Arabidopsis thaliana: one gene and its partners. The protein of the gene in region 2 purifies or fractionates together with the protein of the main gene of each other region. This does not show direct contact. Each region holds a gene or a part of one and is shown on either strand. Other genes may lie near its edges.

Evidence for each region.
Region 1: the proteins of NRPD2B (region 2) and AT4G14342 fractionate together in Arabidopsis thaliana (co-fractionation; one large-scale study listed by BioGRID). This does not show direct contact.
Region 3: the proteins of NRPD2B (region 2) and RPC14 fractionate together in Arabidopsis thaliana (co-fractionation; one large-scale study listed by BioGRID). This does not show direct contact.
Region 4: the proteins of NRPD2B (region 2) and AT3G23325 fractionate together in Arabidopsis thaliana (co-fractionation; one large-scale study listed by BioGRID). This does not show direct contact.

Annotation. Positions count from the first base shown.
Region 1 is NC_003075.7:8,252,705-8,257,824, reverse strand, and holds AT4G14342 (Splicing factor 3B subunit 5/RDS3 complex subunit 10), read left to right. Parts: upstream 1-2,220; 5' UTR 2,221-2,419; coding exon 2,420-2,425; intron 2,426-2,654; coding exon 2,655-2,740; intron 2,741-2,828; coding exon 2,829-3,042; 3' UTR 3,043-3,325; intron 3,326-3,988; coding exon of another isoform or gene 3,989-4,036; 3' UTR 4,037-4,289; downstream 4,290-5,120. Other genes in the region: AT4G14350 (AGC (cAMP-dependent, cGMP-dependent and protein kinase C) kinase family protein), read left to right, coding at 96-209, 381-428, 919-1,003, 1,113-1,169, 1,264-1,376.
Region 2 is NC_003074.8:6,192,729-6,201,020, forward strand, and holds NRPD2B (nuclear RNA polymerase D2B), read left to right. Parts: upstream 1-1,787; 5' UTR 1,788-1,986; intron 1,987-2,231; 5' UTR 2,232-2,594; coding exon 2,595-2,657; intron 2,658-3,028; coding exon 3,029-3,256; intron 3,257-3,430; coding exon 3,431-4,311; intron 4,312-4,694; coding exon 4,695-4,986; intron 4,987-5,125; coding exon 5,126-6,019; intron 6,020-6,114; coding exon 6,115-6,422; coding exon of another isoform or gene 6,423-6,474; exon of another isoform or gene 6,475-6,490; coding exon of another isoform or gene 6,491-6,509; exon of another isoform or gene 6,510-6,974; coding exon 6,975-7,476; 3' UTR 7,477-7,696; downstream 7,697-8,292. Other genes in the region: BGLU44 (B-S glucosidase 44), read left to right, coding at 1-54, 171-286, 385-605, 696-727, 820-922, 1,037-1,217, 1,300-1,396; MYB4R1 (myb domain protein 4r1), read left to right, coding at 7,961-8,292. UniProt on the Arabidopsis thaliana protein: DNA-dependent RNA polymerase catalyzes the transcription of DNA into RNA using the four ribonucleoside triphosphates as substrates.
Region 3 is NC_003071.7:12,641,114-12,645,168, reverse strand, and holds RPC14 (RNApolymerase 14 kDa subunit), read right to left. Parts: upstream 2,342-4,055; 5' UTR 1,882-2,341; coding exon 1,653-1,881; intron 1,532-1,652; coding exon 1,341-1,531; 3' UTR 1,225-1,340; downstream 1-1,224. Other genes in the region: TUB7 (tubulin beta-7 chain), read left to right, coding at 1-85, 226-911; TIM10 (Tim10/DDP family zinc finger protein), read left to right, coding at 2,926-2,964, 3,213-3,265, 3,390-3,461, 3,743-3,781, 3,908-3,977.
Region 4 is NC_003074.8:8,343,830-8,348,146, forward strand, and holds AT3G23325 (Splicing factor 3B subunit 5/RDS3 complex subunit 10), read left to right. Parts: upstream 1-1,940; 5' UTR 1,941-1,978; coding exon 1,979-1,984; intron 1,985-2,168; coding exon 2,169-2,254; intron 2,255-2,338; coding exon 2,339-2,462; intron 2,463-2,537; exon of another isoform or gene 2,538-2,827; intron 2,828-2,979; coding exon 2,980-3,027; 3' UTR 3,028-3,313; downstream 3,314-4,317. Other genes in the region: AT3G23320 (Polynucleotidyl transferase, ribonuclease H-like superfamily protein), read left to right, coding at 800-1,375; AT3G23330 (Tetratricopeptide repeat (TPR)-like superfamily protein), read left to right, coding at 3,371-4,317.

The DNA of each region.
Region 1 (5,120 bases), on a different chromosome or scaffold from region 2:
GTGTTGTATGCGTTGTTCAACTTTGAGATTCAAAGTTCCCTTATGTAAGATCATTGTGTGCAATTCTTAAAAACGATTTGACTGGTTTCTTTCAGGGTCACCCTTGGTTTAGAGGCACAGAATGGGGAAAATTGTATCAAATGAAAGCTGCCTTTATTCCCCAAGTTAATGATGAGTTGGACACCCAAAATTTTGAGAAATTTGAAGAGGTAACACACTGATACTATCAGCTAATGATGTCTATAGTGAAATATTGGTGCAATATATGCCACCAAATGATGTGGCATGATGTATATACTGAAATATTGGTATCACAGATGATTTTTATGCTCCTGATAAGGAAAATAATGTATACTCTTCTTTGATTCCTTCTGGAACAGACTGACAAGCAAGTTCCAAAGTCAGCCAAGTCAGGTCCATGGAGAAAGGTACAGCATAAGCACTGACTTTTTGGCATTATGTACCATCAAGCTTTTTTTTTTTATCTAATAGAAGAGTGATCATACTTCAAAATTTATCTATAAGTGGGTTCCTTGAGATATGTTGTTCTTTGATGATACTACAGACGTAGCTTAAAATATTACATGCAACAAAGAGCTCAGAATGATGAAATTGGCTCAGTTTCTGTCACAGGCGTTTCTATCTTTGTACTATATTCACAAAAACGTGATTCACTCTTTTAGGTTCAAATTTTCTTATGGTAATTTAGAATTTGGAGCTGATTGGGATGCTACTAACAGAATTATGTTGTTAATCTGCCAGTTCTGCATGTTGACGTGTGTTAGATGAATCACTTATCTTTTTGGACCAACATGATATAACTTAGAACCTGTTCTGTCAATAGAATTTATGTCATGAACCAAAAGGATTCTTGTGAATTTCATAACATGACGCTGGCTTTCTTTTTTTCTTCTCCAGATGCTCTCATCCAAAGACATTAACTTTGTTGGTTATACTTACAAGAACGTAGAAATCGTAAATGATGACCAAATACCAGGGATAGGTAATTCACTTAACCCCCCTTCCGTTGCTGAGGAAGAAGCAACAATACTAGATTACCTTGTGATTATCATCGCATGTTTGCTGCATTTGTAATTTGTTTTATTGTGCAGCTGAGTTGAAGAAGAAGAGCAATAAGCCAAAAAGGCCGTCTATTAAATCTCTCTTTGGTAAATCATCTGTTTGTATGCTATTTGTAAAATCAAGATGATTACGATCCATGTTTGATTCTCTCTAACCAAACTGTGGAAACTAAATTAACAGAAGACGAAACATCTGGTGGGACAACAACCCACCAAGGAAGCTTTTTGAATCTACTACCGACGCAGATTGAAGATCCAGAGAAAGAAGGTAGTAAGTCGAGCTCATCCGGGTGAATTTCATTTGACACATTGCACAGCCTGAACCAGAAGACTCTTGTTATATTAACATGTGTGTTGTTGATTTCGTTGAAAGCCTTTTGCTTTCTCTAAACGACTGTTAAAAGTTGGAGTTAGCAGGGGTTTTTCAACAAAGTACAGTCTCTCCAGTGGAAGCGAAGGCTCTCCCAGAGGAGAAAGATGGATTTGTTTAATTGTTTTCAACATAGAAAAGTGAAAAAGTAAATATTCTTTTCGGAATTGGCTTGTTTATTTATTTTCACAGGGAGAGAAGGTGAGCTTTGGTATTTGATTTTTTTTTTTTTGGTTAATCAAAACTTGGTTGTACTACTAAACCTCAAGATGAAATCTTCACCCTCTAATGCTATAAGCAAAAGTATTTACTATTTATTAGATTAGAAAAAGCGCCAATCTGAAAAACTGTTCTCACTGAATGTGTTTAATTGAGTACACTCAAGAGTGAAACAGATGGCTTAATGGCACCTCAGATTTGGTGCTAAAAGTCTACAGTCTACACTATATGTAGGCCTTTGGAACCAATTGCGTGTGAAGACTGAAGACTAAAAAGTGCATACAAAAGAAGTAGAGAACAAATGTACCTCTATGAGTATTCGTAGGCCCTTAAGAGACCTTCTTCAAATGTCAAAATAGTATAAAAAAGAAAAAAGACTAAGTGTGGCTGCTGGGATTCGAGCCCAGGTCCCCACGGCCACAACGTGGGATTCTAACCACTAAACTACAGCCACTTTTGTTTGTATTCTGTAGATTGATAATGATTAAAGAATCCACAATTGTTAGCCAAATTCCAAGCTTCTTGCCTTAACTTCTTTATTATGTGAAACGACCACGTTTTCATTTTATGATCTACTACTTCGGGTACACCGAACGAACCGGTCGGTTATTTCGGATTTAAATATTAACCGAAAACAATTAGCAGATAAAGGACTTGAAGAAAGATAGGGTTTAGATCTTCTTCTTCTTCTTCTTCTTCTTCTTCTTCTTCTTCTTCTTCTTCTAGTTGCTGCGAAACTCTGAAAAAGATGCAGGTATGTTCTCGATCCGAAACCCTAGCTTTTGTTGGTAAATTGGAAGAAGAAATAACCTAATTAGCTTCTTCTACCTTTGATTCTCTGTCTGTTTAATTTATCTATGTCGAAGAGAATTGGCTTAGACGAAATTAGGTCGATTTGTTTCTTATAAAGCATATATAGATGAAATCGGGAACAATTTGCTTTAAATTTAACATCTTTTGGTTTGGGTTTTTTTCTTTTGCAGGCAAGTGATAGGTTTAACATCAATTCTCAGCTTGAGCATCTTCAAGCTAAATATGTTGGAACCGGTCATGCTGATTTGAGTAGATTGTGAGTTTCTTTTGATTTTAGTGTTCAAATTTTTATATGCATTGTTTTTATTGGCTACTAATTTGTGGAATTGGTTTAAATGGTACAGTGAGTGGGCTGTGAACATTCAGCGTGATAGTTATGCTTCATACATTGGTCACTACCCTATGCTTTCATACTTTGCTATTGCTGAGAACGAGTCTATTGGACGAGAACGCTACAATTTCATGCAGGTTTGCCTCCTTTCATGTCTTTTGCATATTACTTTCTCTAGTGACAAATCTACAGTTCAAGATTTGGATTATGATTCTATGTTTATTTGATTAGGTGCGTATCATATGGTTATGTAACTTATGTTGCCTTCCAGATTTATTGCTTTGTTGTATGGTTTTTAGTTTACTGTTAAATGTCGTATTTGTCTATTCGTCGTGATATTTTGATTTCTTAGACCATGGACTTCAGTTTTGACTGACTATTTCAGCAGCCTCTAGTTCTGTAGGATACAATTATATTAGAGAGCGTTGGGTCATGGTCTTACTCAACTCGGTTGGTTTCGGTTTATTCGCCTCTTGCATGGTTGAAATGTGTGATAGGTTAGAATTTCATGTAGGTTTGCTTCCTATTCTCTGTGTTAATAGGAATCTTATCAGTAAAATTCTGTACTTTCCTTTTGCCTCATCCTTTATCTAGTGACAAATCTACAGTTCAAGGTTTGGATTATGATTCTATGTGTAGTCGATTAGGAATGTATCATTTCGTGGTTATCTTGTGGTATATCTCATTCCTTTTCCTTTTCAGATTCATTGATTTGTTGTATGGTTTTAGTTTAGGTCTTGTCAATGGCGTATTTCTCTATTTGTCGTGATATGTTGATTTCCTAGACTATGGACTTCACATTTCACTGACCATTCAGCAGCCTCCAGTTGTGTAGGTTACAATTAGATTATAGAGCATTAGGTTATGGTGTGGTCTCTCACTCAAATGTTTTCATTTGTCCTCAATTCTCAAATTAATGGAAGCTTAGTTCCTTTCACAAACAGTTGTGAGCTCGCCTTGGCTTTCAGTTTTTTCATGAAACAGGTCTCTTACATGGTTGAATAATCTTGTGATAGCGATCTCTTATATCTGAATATATGGTCTTCTTGAGGGTTAATCGAAAAGCATAGAAAAATATGAATATTTGTGGGGTGTTCTTTGCTCAAAAAATTGGTTACACTTTGTAGATGTGATGATGTTTTGGAATAACTTGAGATGTCTTTTGATTTCCAGAAAATGCTATTACCCTGCGGCCTTCCTCCGGAAAGAGAAGAGGAATAGGTGACATGAGGATTCGATTTGTCTTTCAAGTTATCAAGAACTCGTGTGATGGAATGTTGGTTTGGAGTTTTAAAAACTGTCCAATTTGATCTTCTGGTAGAGATTTATATGACTGTTAAAAAACAACTTTGTCTGTGTAAGTTTGCTTTTCTTGAATGTAAAAAACAAAACACCTTGGATTTTTAGGTTGGTTTTACACGGTTTCGTGTTTTAATCAAATTCATCAAAATTTTCAATTTTTGAACTATCCAAAAACCCGAATAATCCGACATAACCGTTATTGCATGCCTAGTTTGATTTGTTAAAAGTTCCCGACATAAATTCTTACCGTGGGATGTCCAAACGACAAGAAAACAACGGGTGTGACAAATGGACAAATAAAAGCAAAAAGCTTAGGCCACTTAAACCAAAAGCCATTTCATCAAACGTATTCTAAAATCTAAACTATAAATAATGTAATATCGTCAACGATGGAAGCCTATAAACACTATAGTTGATATAATCATACGCATCTATTATAAGCTTGCTTACTTATGGATAATTTTTCTTATTCTCTTTGACTTATTTTTGCCTAGTTTCATTGACCATCATAATACTTTAACAATACCGAAAGTTTCATAAACATTATAAAACTTTAGTCATTGTATACAATCCGAAAGTTTCATAAACATTATAAAACTTTAGTCATTGTATACAATTATCAATAAGTTTTGTTTCCCATGCATGTGAAATATCACTTGACTCAAGATGAATGGTCCTAACACGTTTACCTTTAGAGACACATGTTAATTTTCATATTGAAAATGAAAGTAAAAACAAAATGCTTAATATAGCATAGAAGAACATTAGCTATCCTACTAAATTACCATATAGAAGAAACTCATGAATTTCACACTGTGTTCATGAGTTCATCGAGAAGATCTACTAACGACATGTAAACTGGTTATTAAGTATGAGCTTGATTTCTCAAGACTCATCAACAAGTGTTCCATGTATCGACGTTACCAAGCGTTCGGGAGATCCACAAGTAAATGGATGCTTTCTTTTTTAAATTGTTTGAACTTTTATAAAATCAGGTCCTTTA
Region 2 (8,292 bases):
CACCTTATCTTGGCCCACGCAGCAGCAGTCCAAAGATACCGCAAATATTACCAAGTAAACAAATAACTTCTAATACGTTTTCTTGATCTTCTTGATGTGATATGATGAAATAAACCTATATATATGGCTCTTTTGCCAGTGTACTACTAATCTTAATGAAAATTTTCCAGGCGAAACAAAAGGGAAGGGTTGGGATACTTTTAGATTTCGTTTGGTATGAGCCGCTTACTAGAAGTAAAGCAGATAATCTTGCAGCTCAAAGAGCAAGAGACTTCCATATCGGATGGTAAATGTTAAAACTTTTTAACAAATAAAAACTCATATTTTACCATCAAGTCTTGGTGAGCTTATAGAATATCTTTTGTTTTCGGGTCATGCTTGAAGGTTTATTCACCCATTAGTATATGGAGAGTATCCAAAGACAATGCAGAACATTGTGAAAGAGAGGCTTCCAAAGTTCACGGAGAAAGAAGTGAAAATGGTGAAAGGTTCCATAGATTTTGTGGGAATAAACCAATACACGACTTATTACATGTCCGAACCACATCCCACCACCAAACCTAAGGATTTGGGTTATCAACAAGATTGGAATGTGGAATTTGGCTGTAAGTTATTGGAAGATTCATAACGATATGTAGATTTTGGATTTTGTTTACAGTCTTTAGATTTTGATCGTGACAATTATTAACTTGCAGTTGCTAAGTTGGGGAAGCCAATAGGTCCAAGGGTGAGATATACACTTGATTATATGTTTTTTTTTTTCCCTAAGCAATATATATACAAGTGTCTAAGTTATTAAATAAACCACTTATCTTATAGGCTTACTCGTCTTGGTTATACAACGTACCATGGGGAATGTACAAGGCCTTGATGTATATGAAGGAACGTTACGGCAACCCTACTATGATCCTCTCTGAAAACGGTATTAAAGAAACAAATTAAAATCTTCAATCAAGTTTCTTTTTGTTTTGTTATATTTCTATAAGATTATTATAAATTTTAGAGCTTTTTATAAATGTTTGAACATATTTTATAGGTATGGATGACCCGGGAAACGTTACTCTAGCTCAAGGACTACATGACACCACGAGAATCAAGTATTACAAAGATTACTTAACCAACCTTAAGAAAGCTAGGGATGATGGAGCCAATGTGGTTGGATATTTTGCGTGGTCATTGCTAGATAATTTCGAATGGTTATCAGGATATACTTCAAGGTACTTAAAAATTTATACCAAATGTATGATATGTAGAATAAATCAAGGTTATAATTAATATCTGTTTTTGTTTATTGTATAGGTTTGGGATCGTTTATGTTGATTACAAAACATTGAAGAGGTACCCCAAGATGTCTGCTCAGTGGTTTAAGCAACTTCTGAAACGAAACAACAAATGATCTCAATGTATCAATGCCGGGTGGATTTAGTTTTTAAAAAGGTTGGAATTGATGATTGAAGAAATAATGGGGCCGGTTTAGTCACTTTGTTTATTATAAGGGGGGTGAATTGTAACTTGAACTCTCTCCTTCTTCAGTTCTTTGACTTTTCAACACAAATAAAATAAAAGTTTAAGAATAAATTTGCACTATGAAATATGAACTCTTGTCCTTTTCAATTTTGTGAGTTTATATGCATTTAGAACATAACGGTCTTTGAACATTATAGATTTATAAAGTTGCAATTTGCAAGCATAAAGTTGGTAATCGAATTGATGTAATTACCCTTCTTTACTTTGTACTAAACAAAGCGCACTTAGCCACTTAACGCTAAAACATCGTAAGGACATACCTGTCATTTCCACAAGTGCCACTCGATTTCGCCACTCCTACAGTCCTACTCGTCGACTGCTCGCTTAACCATTGAAAAAGTGAGCCAAGGGTTTTGATTATTTTCGACGTCTACGGCGAATCTCTCCGCATCTTCATCGATTTCCCGGCGACGTTTACTACCGCCGTTTTACTCAATCGTGCCAGCTTAAGCAATCGAGGTACCCATTTTAGGTGTTACGCTTTGATTCTGCTTTTAAGCATTGGACAATTCCGGAGAATATGCTTTAGTTTCCTCTCTTTTGGAGAATGATTCGGTTCTAGGGGAAAGATTGTTGATTTCGTGTTTGTATTCATCATTGATTGAAACATGCATGATGCATTTTCGTGGTTCATGGTTTTTCACGGCTTCTTATCATTTTCTCTGTCTTTTTTTTTTTTTTTTTTTTTTTTTTTTTTGTTTCAGTGTGTATTGAGGTATACCAGAGATAGACATAAATGAGATGGATGTTGACGAGATCGAGTCTGCTGGGCAGATCAATATTTCTGAGCTAGGAGAAAGTTTTCTCCAGACTTTCTGCAAAAAAGCTGCGACATCTTTCTTTGAAGAGTTTGGACTTATAAGTCATCAGCTTAACTCCTACAACTTCTTCATTGAACACGGGCTTCAGAATGTGTTTGAGTCCTTTGGTGACATTCTTGTGGAACCGTCTTTTGATGTAATAAAGAAGAAGGATGGCGATTGGAGATACGCAACGGTGAAATTTGGAAAAGTCACTTTGGAGAAGCCTACATTCTTTTCGGATGACAAGGAGCTTGAGTTTCTCCCATGGCATGCAGGCTTCAGAACATGACATACTCAGCAAGGATCAAAGTCAATGCCCAAGTTGAGGTAACTAAACTAACAAAATCTTTGTCGAAATTAAGTAAGCTTGTCTGGATTTGATGAATGATTTCCCTTGCTTGAAAACTCAGAAAGGCCAGTTAACTATCACTTTCTAGTTCAACATTATGCAATATGTCTATGTAGTCGAGAGTGGAATACCACATGGTATGAAATATAAAAGAAAAACATCTTAAGCTTTTTATTTATTTAGTTCTTCCCCATTCCCTCACTGTTCTTTAATTGAGTGTTTCATGCTTGTGTGCAATGACTCTTGTACAGTCAAAGTTTTGATGATGTTTCTGTTTTGCTGTCCATGTATCTTATTCTTGTAAATGTAGTTTATTGTCTAACTGCATCTTCACTTTATAAATTACTAGGTGTTCAAAAAAATTGTTATTAAACACGACAAATTCAAGACTGGACAAGATGAATATGTCGAGAAGGAGATACTGGATGTCAAAAAACAGGACATTCTAATTGGTAGCATACCTGTCATGGTGAAATCTGTCCTTTGCAAAACTAGCGAGAAAGGAAAAGAAAACTGCAAAAAGGGGAATTGTGCCTTTGATCAGGGTGGATATTTTGTGATAAAGGGGGCTGAGAAGGTGAGTTAAACCATTTTGGGATCTTTTTGCATATCCACTATCATGGGATTTCTATTTTGAACTATTTTAGTGTATAGCTTAGTGGAAATTAGTTCTCTTTTTCTAATATATACTGGAAAAAATATTTTCAAGTTGTTATACAACTTCCTAACGTGATTATAATCTGTCTTGCAGGTGTTTATAGCTCAAGAACAGATGTGCACAAAGAGATTGTGGATTTCTAATTCACCATGGACAGTCTCCTTCAGGTCCGAAACTAAAAGAAATAGGTTCATTGTGCGCCTCTCGGAGAATGAGAAAGCAGAAGACTATAAGATAATGGAGAAAGTACTGACAGTGTACTTCTTGTCGACTGAGATTCCAGTCTGGCTCCTGTTCTTTGCGTTGGGTGTTTCATCAGACAAAGAAGCCATGGATCTAATTGCTTTCGATGGTGATGATGCAAGCATTACCAACAGTCTCATAGCTTCTATCCATGAAGCTGATGCAGTGTGTGAAGCTTTTCGCTGTGGGAACAATGCCCTAACATATGTTGAACATCAGATCAAAAGCACCAAATTCCCTCCTGCTGAAAGTGTGGATGATTGCCTCCGTCTGTATTTGTTTCCATGCCTCCAAGGTTTGAAGAAGAAAGCCCGATTCCTGGGCTATATGGTGAAGTGCCTTTTGAGCGCGTATGCGGGAAAACGAAAATGTGAAAACAGGGACAGTTTCCGGAATAAACGAATTGAGCTCGCTGGAGAACTGTTGGAGAGGGAGATAAGGGTGCATCTTGCACATGCTAGAAGAAAGATGACCAGGGCCATGCAGAAACAACTCTCAGGCGATGGCGATTTGAAGCCTATAGAGCATTATTTGGATGCTTCCGTTATCACCAATGGGCTTAATAGAGCCTTCTCCACTGGAGCATGGTCTCATCCTTTCAGGAAGATGGAAAGGGTCTCAGGTGTTGTAGCTAATTTGGGTCGTGCAAATCCATTGCAGACTCTGATTGATCTGAGGAGAACGCGACAGCAAGTCCTTTATACCGGCAAGGTTGGAGATGCTAGACATCCGTAAGTGAAAATTTCCACCTCCCCTGGTATATTGAAATATATCCCACGTACTTTAACTAACTGATATGGTTGCATTTACTCAATGTTACATGTCTTCAGACTGTTTTAAAGATATTCATATTAACCTATTTAGTATACGATGGCGATCACAGTTTCTGCAGAGTCTCGTCGGTTTATAATATTGAGTTTGTATAGATGTTGCTGCTATTAAGAAACTTTGATACTGTCTTTCTTGTTTCTTTGTCCCTTGGTCAATCTATCTGTTGTCCTGATGCATGTATTGAGATTATCCATTTTGGTTCCTTTTCAATGTGAGCGGTTACACAATTAAATCGTGCTGGGAAACTGAACTATGGCTGCATTGTTTTTAATGTTGGCCACAGGCATCCTTCTCACTGGGGCAGAGTATGCTTTTTGTCAACTCCAGATGGTGAAAATTGTGGTCTTGTGAAGAACATGTCTCTTCTTGGACTTGTTAGCACTCAAGGTTTGGAGTCTGTGGTGGAAATGCTCTTTACTTGCGGAATGGAAGAGCTGATGAATGATACCAGCACACCATTGTGTGGCAAACACAAAGTTCTTCTCAATGGAGACTGGGTTGGATTATGTGCAGATTCTGAATCCTTTGTCGGGGAGTTAAAAAGCAGGCGGCGCCAAAGTGAATTACCTCTCGAGGTATCTTCTGTTTCAGCAAATGTTTTGCTATATTTTGATATTCTTGTGCTACTTGATTATTTGCTTTGGATTTTTCTGCTTCAGAAAGTATCCTATGTCGAATATTATTTACATATATGTATCACAACGTTATCTGCAGATGGAAATCAAGCGAGATAAAGATGACAATGAGGTGAGAATTTTCACTGACGCTGGTAGACTACTCCGACCTCTCTTGGTTGTGGAAAATCTCCACAAGTTGAAGCAAGACAAACCTACACAGTATCCTTTTAAGCATCTTCTTGACCAAGGGATTCTCGAGCTGATCGGGATTGAGGAAGAAGAAGACTGTACTACAGCATGGGGAATCAAACAGCTTCTGAAGGAACCAAAGAATTACACGCATTGCGAATTGGACCTATCATTCCTGTTGGGTGTGAGCTGTGCAATTGTCCCATTTGCAAATCACGATCATGGGAAAAGAGTTCTTTACCAGTCTCAGAAGCATTGCCAACAAGCCATCGGATTCTCATCAACGAACCCTAACATCCGCTGCGATACGCTGTCCCAGCAGCTGTTCTATCCCCAAAAGCCACTTTTCAAGACATTGGCGTCAGAGTGTCTTGAAAAAGAAGTTCTATTTAATGGCCAGAACGCAATTGTTGCTGTGAATGTTCATCTCGGGTACAACCAAGAGGACTCCATTGTGATGAACAAGGCTTCATTGGAACGTGGTATGTTCCGTTCAGAGCAGATTAGAAGCTACAAAGCAGAGGTTGATACTAAAGACTCGGAGAAGAGGAAGAAGATGGATGAGCTTGTTCAGTTTGGAAAGACATACAGCAAAATCGGCAAAGTAGACAGCCTTGAAGATGACGGGTTTCCTTTCATTGGTGCTAACATGAGTACTGGCGATATTGTCATTGGCAGATGCACCGAGTCTGGGGCTGATCACAGTATAAAGCTCAAGCACACTGAGAGAGGAATTGTGCAAAAAGTGGTATTATCTTCTAATGATGAAGGGAAGAATTTTGCAGCGGTTTCTCTGAGACAGGTAAGTTCCAGATCATACTGAATCGAGCTGTTTTTCAGAGAATGCATTCTTATGATGAATCAAATGTTCCATTGATTGGCTTTTACATCTTGCAGGTTCGTTCTCCATGCCTTGGAGATAAGTTTTCCAGTATGCATGGCCAGAAGGGTGTTTTAGGCTATCTAGAGGAACAGCAGAATTTTCCTTTCACGATCCAAGGCATAGTTCCTGATATTGTGATAAACCCGCACGCTTTCCCTTCTAGGCAGACACCAGGTCAACTCTTGGAGGCTGCTCTCTCCAAAGGAATCGCTTGTCCTATACAAAAGAAGGAGGGTAGCTCTGCTGCATACACCAAATTGACACGTCATGCCACTCCTTTCTCCACTCCGGGTGTCACTGAAATCACCGAGCAGCTTCACAGGTACATTCTTCACATTGTCACTTGGTTTTTAGCTCGTAAAACAGAATATTGAATTATATGCAATACAGATTGACATTTGGTTCCTAGGGAGTACAGATGGATGATATCATTAAGGGTAGGAACTAATTATTAATAATGTTGCCTGGTTGGAGATGTTTGAACTTTGGGACTTTGGCTCAAAAGCTGACATGATATGCATAATACCAGCAAATCGAGCTAATATACTGCACAAGGCACTAAGCTAGATTTGAGCACCTTACTTGAAACATGTCATAGTGGATCTTTGTTTTGTTTCCTAGTACCAGAAGTGAGCATGATTTATATGACGGGCAAATATCTCTGTAAGACCAAAAAAACTAAGAAGTTGGATGTTCTCTGGTTGATTAAATTGTGCCTGCAAAACGTCTAGAGGATACACAGAATGGGCTCAAAAGCCATGTATCAGTATATAATTAGTTAGAGGATTGATGCTGTGAGCCTTGTGATTATGTATGATTCGTTGAACCTTTCTTAGATCATTGTTGATTGCCAATGGTAAATATTTGTGGTTAGGGCCGGCTTTTCAAGATGGGGAAACGAAAGGGTCTACAATGGTAGATCGGGTGAGATGATGCGCTCTCTGATATTCATGGGCCCAACTTTCTACCAGCGACTTGTCCACATGTCAGAGAACAAAGTCAAGTTCAGGAACACCGGACCAGTCCACCCGCTCACACGCCAGCCAGTCGCAGACCGGAAGAGGTTTGGCGGGATAAGATTTGGAGAAATGGAGCGAGACTGCCTAATAGCTCACGGTGCATCCGCTAATCTGCACGAGCGGCTCTTCACTCTAAGTGACTCTTCTCAGATGCACATCTGCAGAAAATGCAAGACCTATGCGAATGTGATCGAGAGGACTCCAAGCAGTGGAAGAAAGATCAGAGGGCCATATTGCAGAGTGTGCGCATCCTCCGACCATGTGGTTAGGGTCTATGTTCCTTATGGAGCTAAGCTTCTTTGTCAGGAGCTGTTCAGCATGGGCATTACTCTCAACTTCGACACCAAGCTCTGCTGATTCCCCGTCATTATTATGTAAATAGCTTAATGCCTTAAGACCATGATGATATGTGTAGTTTGCTTCAATCCCTGTTCTGGTTAGTGTTGGTTTTGGTTTGGTTGATTCTGTAAGGGTTATCCGAAACGAAGAAATCGTTAAACCAAGCCACTGAACTAAATCTTAAGTGTTGCTTTTGTAAGAGTTGACTCTTTAACCGTAAATGATGATCGGATTTTGTAAAAATCAGTTCTTTTGTCAACGCTAACCGGTTTATATCTGGTTTTCTATGTGTTTTATAATGATCCGACCCAGACCCGGCCCGTTTGCACTGATGCCGCCAATGTTAAATTGGTCAGACATAAATAAAACCTTAAGTATTAGGAAAACATTCATCGTCTTCTTCTTCTAGAGGCATAAACCCTTGGCTTGGAGCCGTTTCTCTCATTCTTCGATTTGATTCAATTTCATTTTCATAAAGAAGGATTTCTCTTTCTGTATCGCGATGAATCGGAACAGCCTATACGAAGCTGATGACGATGATGACGATGACGAAGAAGATGACATCGGTGAAGACCTCGAAGATTTAAGACGCGCATGTATGGTCTCTGACGTTAATTCCGATCAATTCGCGTCAAAAACCGGTTCAATTGAACCGGAAGGAGTCGGTGGCGGAGAGATACCGTCGGATTCAGAAAACGAAGATGACTTTGAGATGCTTCGTACAATTAAGAGCCAATTAGCATCTTCCAAGGATGCGGGTAGAAGCAGTGGTCCTCCCATGGGTTTGTCCTTGCTCTCGGATTCGGAGAGTGAAGATGATTTCGAGATGATTCG
Region 3 (4,055 bases), on a different chromosome or scaffold from region 2:
GAGAACGCTGATGAGTGTATGGTTCTTGACAACGAAGCTTTGTATGACATTTGCTTCCGTACACTCAAGCTTAGCACTCCAAGTTGTAAGTATTCCAATGTTCTTCGATTATGAGTCAATGTTGTTACTGTATCTGTCTCTGTGGTTTATTGTTTCAGGCTTAGTTATTGATTAGTATTGAAACTTCACTCACATATTTTTTTGTTTGTTTTCTGAATTGTGCAGTTGGTGATCTGAACCACTTGATCTCTGCAACCATGTCTGGTGTAACCTGCTGTCTTAGGTTCCCTGGTCAACTGAACTCTGATCTGCGAAAGCTAGCTGTGAATCTGATCCCATTCCCTCGTCTCCACTTCTTCATGGTGGGATTTGCTCCTCTCACCTCTCGTGGATCTCAGCAGTACCGTAACCTCACTGTCCCAGAGCTCACTCAGCAAATGTGGGATGCTAAGAACATGATGTGTGCTGCTGACCCAAGACACGGTCGCTACCTCACTGCTTCAGCCATGTTCCGTGGAAAGATGAGCACCAAGGAGGTCGATGAACAGATGCTGAACGTACAGAACAAGAACTCCTCCTACTTTGTGGAATGGATCCCTAACAACGTCAAATCAACCGTCTGTGACATTCCCCCTACTGGTCTGAAGATGGCTTCAACGTTCATTGGTAACTCAACTTCGATCCAAGAGATGTTCAGGCGTGTCAGTGAGCAATTCACTGCTATGTTCAGGAGAAAGGCTTTCTTGCATTGGTACACAGGTGAAGGTATGGATGAGATGGAGTTCACTGAAGCTGAAAGCAACATGAACGATCTTGTCTCTGAGTATCAGCAGTATCAAGATGCAACGGCTGATGAAGAAGGAGAATATGAAGAGGAAGAAGCTGAGTACGAGCAAGAAGAAACTTATTGAAGAAACAGATGATAAGAACACCTCAACTTCCAGTTGCTGTTTACTTTTAAAACTCTCTTCTATTAAGTTCTTATAGTTTCTGTAACTATCGCTTGCGTTATTAGTAGTTATGATACTCTGCGTAGGCTAAGAGGATTTATCAATCAATATTCAAACAATCTATTTTGCTAAATCAAAATCCATCCATAGTATTTTTTTTCTTTGTTTCATTATATAACCTTTTGTTAATTTTGACTATGTGAATTCGGTGAAGACTTCACCATCTTTCAAATATAAGAAGCAGAGTAGTAGTGACAATGGTTATAAGCAATATAAGAATCTTCTTGGTTAAATTTTGGTGTGGATTATGAATTTGACGAGTCAATTTGAAGGACGAATCTGGATTTAAGATAAAAATAGTATAAACTCCATAGGAGAATACAATGGTTATCAGTTGTTTTCAATGTCCATGGACCCAAATAGATCCCTCTGCCTCTTAAGCTCTTCTTCTTCAGCCTCCTCCTTACGCTTTTGTTCATCCTTATACTCAGCAACAGCCTTATCAAAAACGCTTCTCACATGTCTGTTCATTTGCATGAGCTCTTGACATGCATCTTTAAAAACCTCTCTTGCTGGATCACCTAAAAGCCACAGAGCCAACACGTTTTATGTTGTTAGACACACAGACAAAGAACTCGGATAAGAGTTATCCAAAAAGAACATAGCTTAACTCTGATGAACAGAGTTTTTGAAAAACAGTACCTGTTGTCTGGACCCGGATATTGACCTGTTCAAGGGAAGGATGTGGGATGGTGTATGCAGCCACGGTTACTCTGGGACTGCAGAATTGAAAACAGTACTGGTTATTGACATAATCATCATTGTCTACACACCAGCATATCAACTCCATCAACCTCAAAGATAAGATAATGTGACATTCATTGAATACAATGAGAATCTCTAACAACATAACATGAATGTAAACCAACATTTAATCGAACTCTCAAGTTTCACAATCACAATATAATGGCGAACTTAATGGACCAAACTCATCCAACGAAAGATATCGGAACAATAATGCCTCGTCACTGCTGTCTCTATCTAAGAGCTAATTCTAGACTATCTTTTCTAGTCTCTAACCACAGAACATGAATCTGAATCGAACTCAACCTTCACAATCACCTTATAATGGCACAAACATACAATGTGCACACTGATTATTCAAACAAAATTTGATTATCTTCACAATAATTCTAACCAAAAACAAAGGTAAAGACAGGTAAGAGATTCATTCCTAATGAGGGAAACTATGAACTCAATAATCAGAATTTGAGAGTGTCACGAACTAAGTATGAGATTATAAAGCTAAAGCCTTTCTCTGTGAAAGTGTATAGCTTCTTCTATATATATACATAACAGATTCAAAAGGATTGAAAGAAGAAGATACTTACTCTTGGTTTAAGACGAATCTAACAGCATTAGCAAGTGTGTGATCTTCTTCCGATAAAGTAAACGAAGCATGACTAACATTCGTGAACGAACCGTGCTCCATATCTCACCTTCTTGCTACTCAATTCCTTAACTCAAAATCAAAAATCCACCACCAACTAGAAAACACAGAAAGAGAACGACTTCAATTGAAAGCTTTGAATAGCTAAACAAACCCACAAAGAAAAACTCGAAATTGAAGAAAATTTCAGCAAAAAAAGTTGAGAGAGTAAGAAAGAAGATACCTCCAATAGAAATTTGCTAAAACCCTAAAAGCTTGATTAGTCGGCGACTTTTAGTCGTGGAGAAGCTCAGATACTTTAGCGTAATTACATCTATACCCTTTCGTTTGATGACGTGGCGTGTAATGTCTCTTAAACCCTAATTCGGCTGTGTAGCAAAAGAGAAGCCTTTGTTGTGTTCTTTACCTCTCTTCACGAAATCCCATTTGAGAAAGTAAGGATTTATGATCTTCAAATTCAAGTATGAATTATAAAGTTTCGATTTTTACGAATCATTAATTTTGTATTCAGGTACTGCTAAAAAAATGGCTTCTCCTATTCCCGTCGGCGTTACTAAGGAACAGGTTCGGTTTATTTGCTCGTCCTTTATTGTTAATACATCGTAAAGCTCCGATCTTTGATCTAATTAGACAATGGAAGCTTAAGTTTTTCTAGCTGTCTCTGTGATGACATATAGGTTTCAATGTTTTTGCAATGCTTAGGGTTTAAATTGTATCGTGATTCAGATCTTTAAGCCATTTATTAGATTTGGATTGGTGTTGTCAAGTTTCTCATTTTGCTTTTTTTTTTTGGTGTCTTGGATTTGAATCAGGCGTTTAGTATGGCACAAACGGAGATGGAGTATCGCGTGGAACTCTTTAACAAGTACTGAATCAAACACCCATTTGGTTTATCTTTCGTTATGAAATTCGATTTTCACTTGTGATTGCTTATCTGGTTTAATTTTGTTTTGATCACATTGTTTAGGGCTTCACTTATTTTCAAATAGTGATATATATAAGCTAGAGGAGTATAAGTTTGAGACTGCTGATATGTCGAAAATCCTTAGGCTGCCTGAATTGTTTATCTTGAGGAGGAAATCTAAAATCTTTCTATGAGGAATTCTCGAGTTCTGTGCATATGTATTCAGCTGTTATGTAGAGTTTAAACTTTGATAACATATGACTTAGGTGGTGTTCTGTTAATATTCATTTCCCCGGGCCATTTGTGATTCCTCTGGTTAGAGATTATGAAGAAAGTCACATCTTTATATGTGTTTCTTTTCCTTCTAATATACTTTGTGGTCTATTGTGATTCCTCGGGTTAGAGACTATGCTGACAGGCCTTGTTCTTGTATTGCAGGCTTGCTCAAACATGCTTTAATAAATGTGTGGATAAAAGGTAAACTATTTCTCCTTTTGATGTTCTATAATTACGTCGTGGAACTTGTCTGCAATTGTTGAAACTTTTCTTAGCTGAGAGATGAGTAAGTTGCACCTGTTTTGAGATTCTTTGCCTAATTCTCAGGTACAAGGAAGCTGAGCTAAACATGGGTGAGAATAGTTGCATCGACCGTTGTGTTTCCAAGTACTGGCAGGTAAGGCTCTCTGATACTTCAACAATTAACAATTTGATACTTCAAATCTTCTCATAGTTGACTACTATTATTCAAATT
Region 4 (4,317 bases), 2.2 Mb from region 2:
TGATTAATTTTCTGTTAATTTTTTCTGTTAAAAGCGAAACGACGTCGTTTTGAAATTAAAGAAAAAAACAAAAAACAAACACCAAGTAGAGTTGAACTGGTGACCTTTTAGGTGCTATTGAAGGACTAAAACCATTGAGCCACGTTAACTTTTTAGAAGTATAGTAAACATATACATATATATATATATATACGTAACTAATTAAAAATAACCAACTAAAATAAATCAATAATATAGAAAATTACCTAAAATTTACACAATCCTTCTCATATGAATATAGGATTAATCTATACATGCACATAGAATTTCATTCAACTTCACTTTATATATAATTTTATTTATAATAAAACATATATTTTATAAATTAATTTGATAAATATTTAATAAAAGAAAAATATAAGATCATTATTCCGTCTTCAAATCAATTTTTTTATTCATAATTAGATGGAAAGTATATAAAAAGTTATTTTTTGGTAATATATTTATAGGTGTTATATTTCACAAGTTTGATTTTTATATAATTTAAGAGAATTTTTTTTTAATTCAATACGTTTAATAAAAAAATTTACATTGTTATTTGAGAATATATATTAATGGTAGGTGTATTTAATATTTTTACATGTTTAGTTATTGTTTTTATAGTTCGGTTTTTATTTGGTAGGTGCATTTTTATAATTTACATCATTTTTAATATTTTTATTTGCCATTTTGGTTAATATGGAGGATTTGGAAGAGCCGGAATGATTTAGTCTTCAACAAAAAAGCAATCGCTGTCGCTGATGTGATAAACCAAGCGATAATGGACACGAAAGAATGGCTGGATGTTAAGCATAAAAATGATGACAACGTCAAAGGGGGCCAAACCAAGTCCTCAAGAACGGACAAATGGCAAAAACCAGGAGCAGAATGGGTCAAATGCAATTATGATGTCTCTAACCATGCGGGAAGACAAGACTCAGGCCTCAGATGGATTATTCGAAACTCACAAGGAACCTGTTTGGACTGCGGCTGCGGGAAATTTCAGGGTCGACAAACAATAAAGGAAGCTGAATGCACTGCCCTCATATGGGCAATACAATGCGCTTGGGATTTGGGATATAGGAGAGTAGAATTTGAAGGCGACAACATCACAGTTAATCGCCTTATTCGAAACAAAGAAACTAATCCACGACTTCGATACTATTTGGAATTCATTCAACAATGGAGCAAAGCTTTCACCACTGTGAAGTTCACATTTCGACACCGGGAACAAAACGTTTGTGTTGATGTTCTGGCGAAAAAAGCAGTAGCTAATCATATAAATCATACTCTATATCATTTTTGTCCTAGATTTCTAATGTCGTTTGTAAACAAAGATGCTGAACACGTGAATTAATAAAGTTATTGGAAGGAAAAAAAAAAAAAATAGTTCGGTTTTTAATTAGTTTTGCGTATATATATATATATCAGTTTTCATTAATATCGAAATGTTATCATAGCATATTGGTTGAGCGCTTGTGATAATTTAGGAGGTTCACGAGTTCAATCCATTCTTGGCGCAAATTTTAATATATTTTTATTTTGAAACGACGTCGTTTCGCTTCTAACGGAAAATGTTAACGAAAAGTTAACTCCGTTATTTTGTTGTTAACGGAAATTTAACGACATGCCCAAAATAGTAAAGTCAACGAAACTTAATCATTTTATCAAAAGTCAGACGAAATTTTATAATTTTAGCGGCATTTCGGAAGTTCACGTTTTTTTTATCCCAAATTTAAAAGTTAATGATTTGGTTTGATTGAAATGTCCGGTTCTGGTTTGGTTTTCTTTTGTACCGGTTCTCATAATAATAGCCACGTATTAAAAATTTATTAGTAATGGATTTGGGCCAGACCCATTCTCAAAGCCCAATCAATTTCTCAGTGAAACATATATAAACCTAATTAAAGTGAAGCAGAAGTTGTATTCTTCTTCTTGCGAACTCGCTGAAGTCTGAAAGATGCAGGTTTGTCTCTCTCGATTCGAAACCCTAGTTACTTTTTTTTGTTCTTATCTCTAATTTTATACAATTTCTTGACGATTAAGCTAAGCGTAGCTGAAATCTGGGAACAATTTGCTTTAGTTCTTGTAAAGGTTAGGTTTTTAAGCAGCAGATAGTTATGTAATCTCACTTTTTTGTTTTTGTGCAGGCAAGTGATAGGTTTAACATAAATTCTCAGCTTGAGCATCTTCAAGCTAAGTATGTTGGTACAGGTCATGCAGATTTGAGCAGATTGTAAGTATTTTTCACTTTTTGTTTGGATTTTTCAGGATTCCAAAATTGTGAACTTATTGAAAATTTTGAATGTTTTTGTGTTAGTGAATGGACTGTGAACATTCAGCGTGATAGTTATGCTTCATACATTGGTCACTACCCGATGCTTTCTTACTTTGCAATAGCTGAGAACGAATCTATTGGTCGAGAACGTTACAACTTCATGCAGGTTTGTTTACTATCTTTCTTCTTGCATCATGTCAAGGAATCATATTGAGAATGTTAATGTGTTAGTGTCTTAAGGGAGAGGAACAATTAGGGTTGTTTCAAACAGGGTAAAGTGTTCCTGCTGCTCCCCTCTTTAGCTTGGAGAAGCCAGTAAATATCTTTCTCTTCAAGGAACTTGTGGGCCTCAAGAAAACCTGCTATAATTCTAGTTTTTCAACATTCCTCCTTCTGATATCAGCAACAACTCCTTACCCTTAAGAATGGAGAATGGAACTTCCTCAAAGATATTTACTTGGCCTCTGCAACCGGAAAGGGGAGCAGCATGAAACTCTTTTAACCCTTACCCTGTATTTGTCAAAAACAGATTGTATCATATCGTAAGTTAGCAGGAAACTACCAATCTTGAGGGTTGTTTCAAACTGTTATCTTCTGGTTCTTCTACACTCAAGAGTCAATGACTTTGCATTTTTGCTAATAGCTTTTACTAACTCCAAACTTCTTTGATTTTTTTTTTGCAGAAAATGCTCTTACCTTGCGGCCTTCCTCCAGAAAGAGAAGACGAGTAAGAGCTTGTGTGCATTTGAAATTAAAAAAAACATTCTACTTCTTAGAAGCTTGTGTGCAATCTTCTTTAACTGCTCCACCAATGTAATTGCCGAAAAGGCTTCTTCTTGTTTCTAGTTCATAATGCAGTTGTTGATCATGATCTAAACATTTGTACTTTGTTATAGTCTTGATACAATTGTCAAACTCAAAGTCTTTTTGCTACTCGAACAACTATTGCAAAAGAATTGAATTGAACAAGTCATAAAAAAAAGAGGTTAAAAGTTGGAGTATTTAAATGAATGACGAAAATAAAAATCAAACCTTTATGTTTGCTAATGGTGAATCTCTGAGAAGGAGACAAAGATGAGTTCATCAAAAGCCCTAATCAAAACCCTGATTAAGAATCCAACTCGAATCAAATCCAAATCTCAAGCGAAGCAGCTTCACGCACAATTCATCAGAACTCAATCACTCTCTCATACATCAGCTTCAATCGTAATCTCAATCTACACAAACCTTAAACTTTTGCACGAAGCTTTGCTTCTTTTCAAAACCCTTAAGTCTCCTCCTGTTCTAGCATGGAAGTCAGTAATCAGATGCTTCACCGACCAGTCTCTATTCTCCAAGGCGTTAGCTTCGTTTGTGGAAATGCGAGCTTCTGGGAGATGCCCAGATCACAATGTGTTTCCTTCTGTTTTGAAATCGTGTACGATGATGATGGATTTGAGATTTGGTGAGTCTGTTCATGGGTTTATTGTTAGGCTTGGTATGGATTGTGATTTGTATACTGGTAATGCGCTTATGAATATGTATGCTAAGCTTCTTGGTATGGGTTCTAAGATTAGTGTAGGTAATGTGTTCGATGAAATGCCTCAAAGAACGTCCAATTCTGGAGACGAAGATGTAAAGGCTGAAACTTGCATTATGCCTTTTGGAATAGACAGTGTGAGGAGGGTTTTTGAAGTGATGCCTAGAAAGGATGTTGTGTCGTATAATACTATCATTGCAGGGTATGCACAGAGTGGAATGTATGAAGATGCTTTGAGAATGGTTAGGGAGATGGGAACTACTGACTTAAAGCCTGATTCTTTTACTTTGTCTAGTGTGCTTCCGATATTTTCTGAGTATGTGGATGTTATTAAGGGGAAAGAGATTCATGGGTATGTGATTAGGAAAGGGATTGATAGTGATGTATATATTGGGAGTAGTTTGGTTGATATGTATGCGAAAAGTGCTCGGATTGAAGACTCTGAAAGAGTGTTTTCTCGCTTGTATTGTCGGGATGGTATCTCGTGGAACTCGCTTGTAGC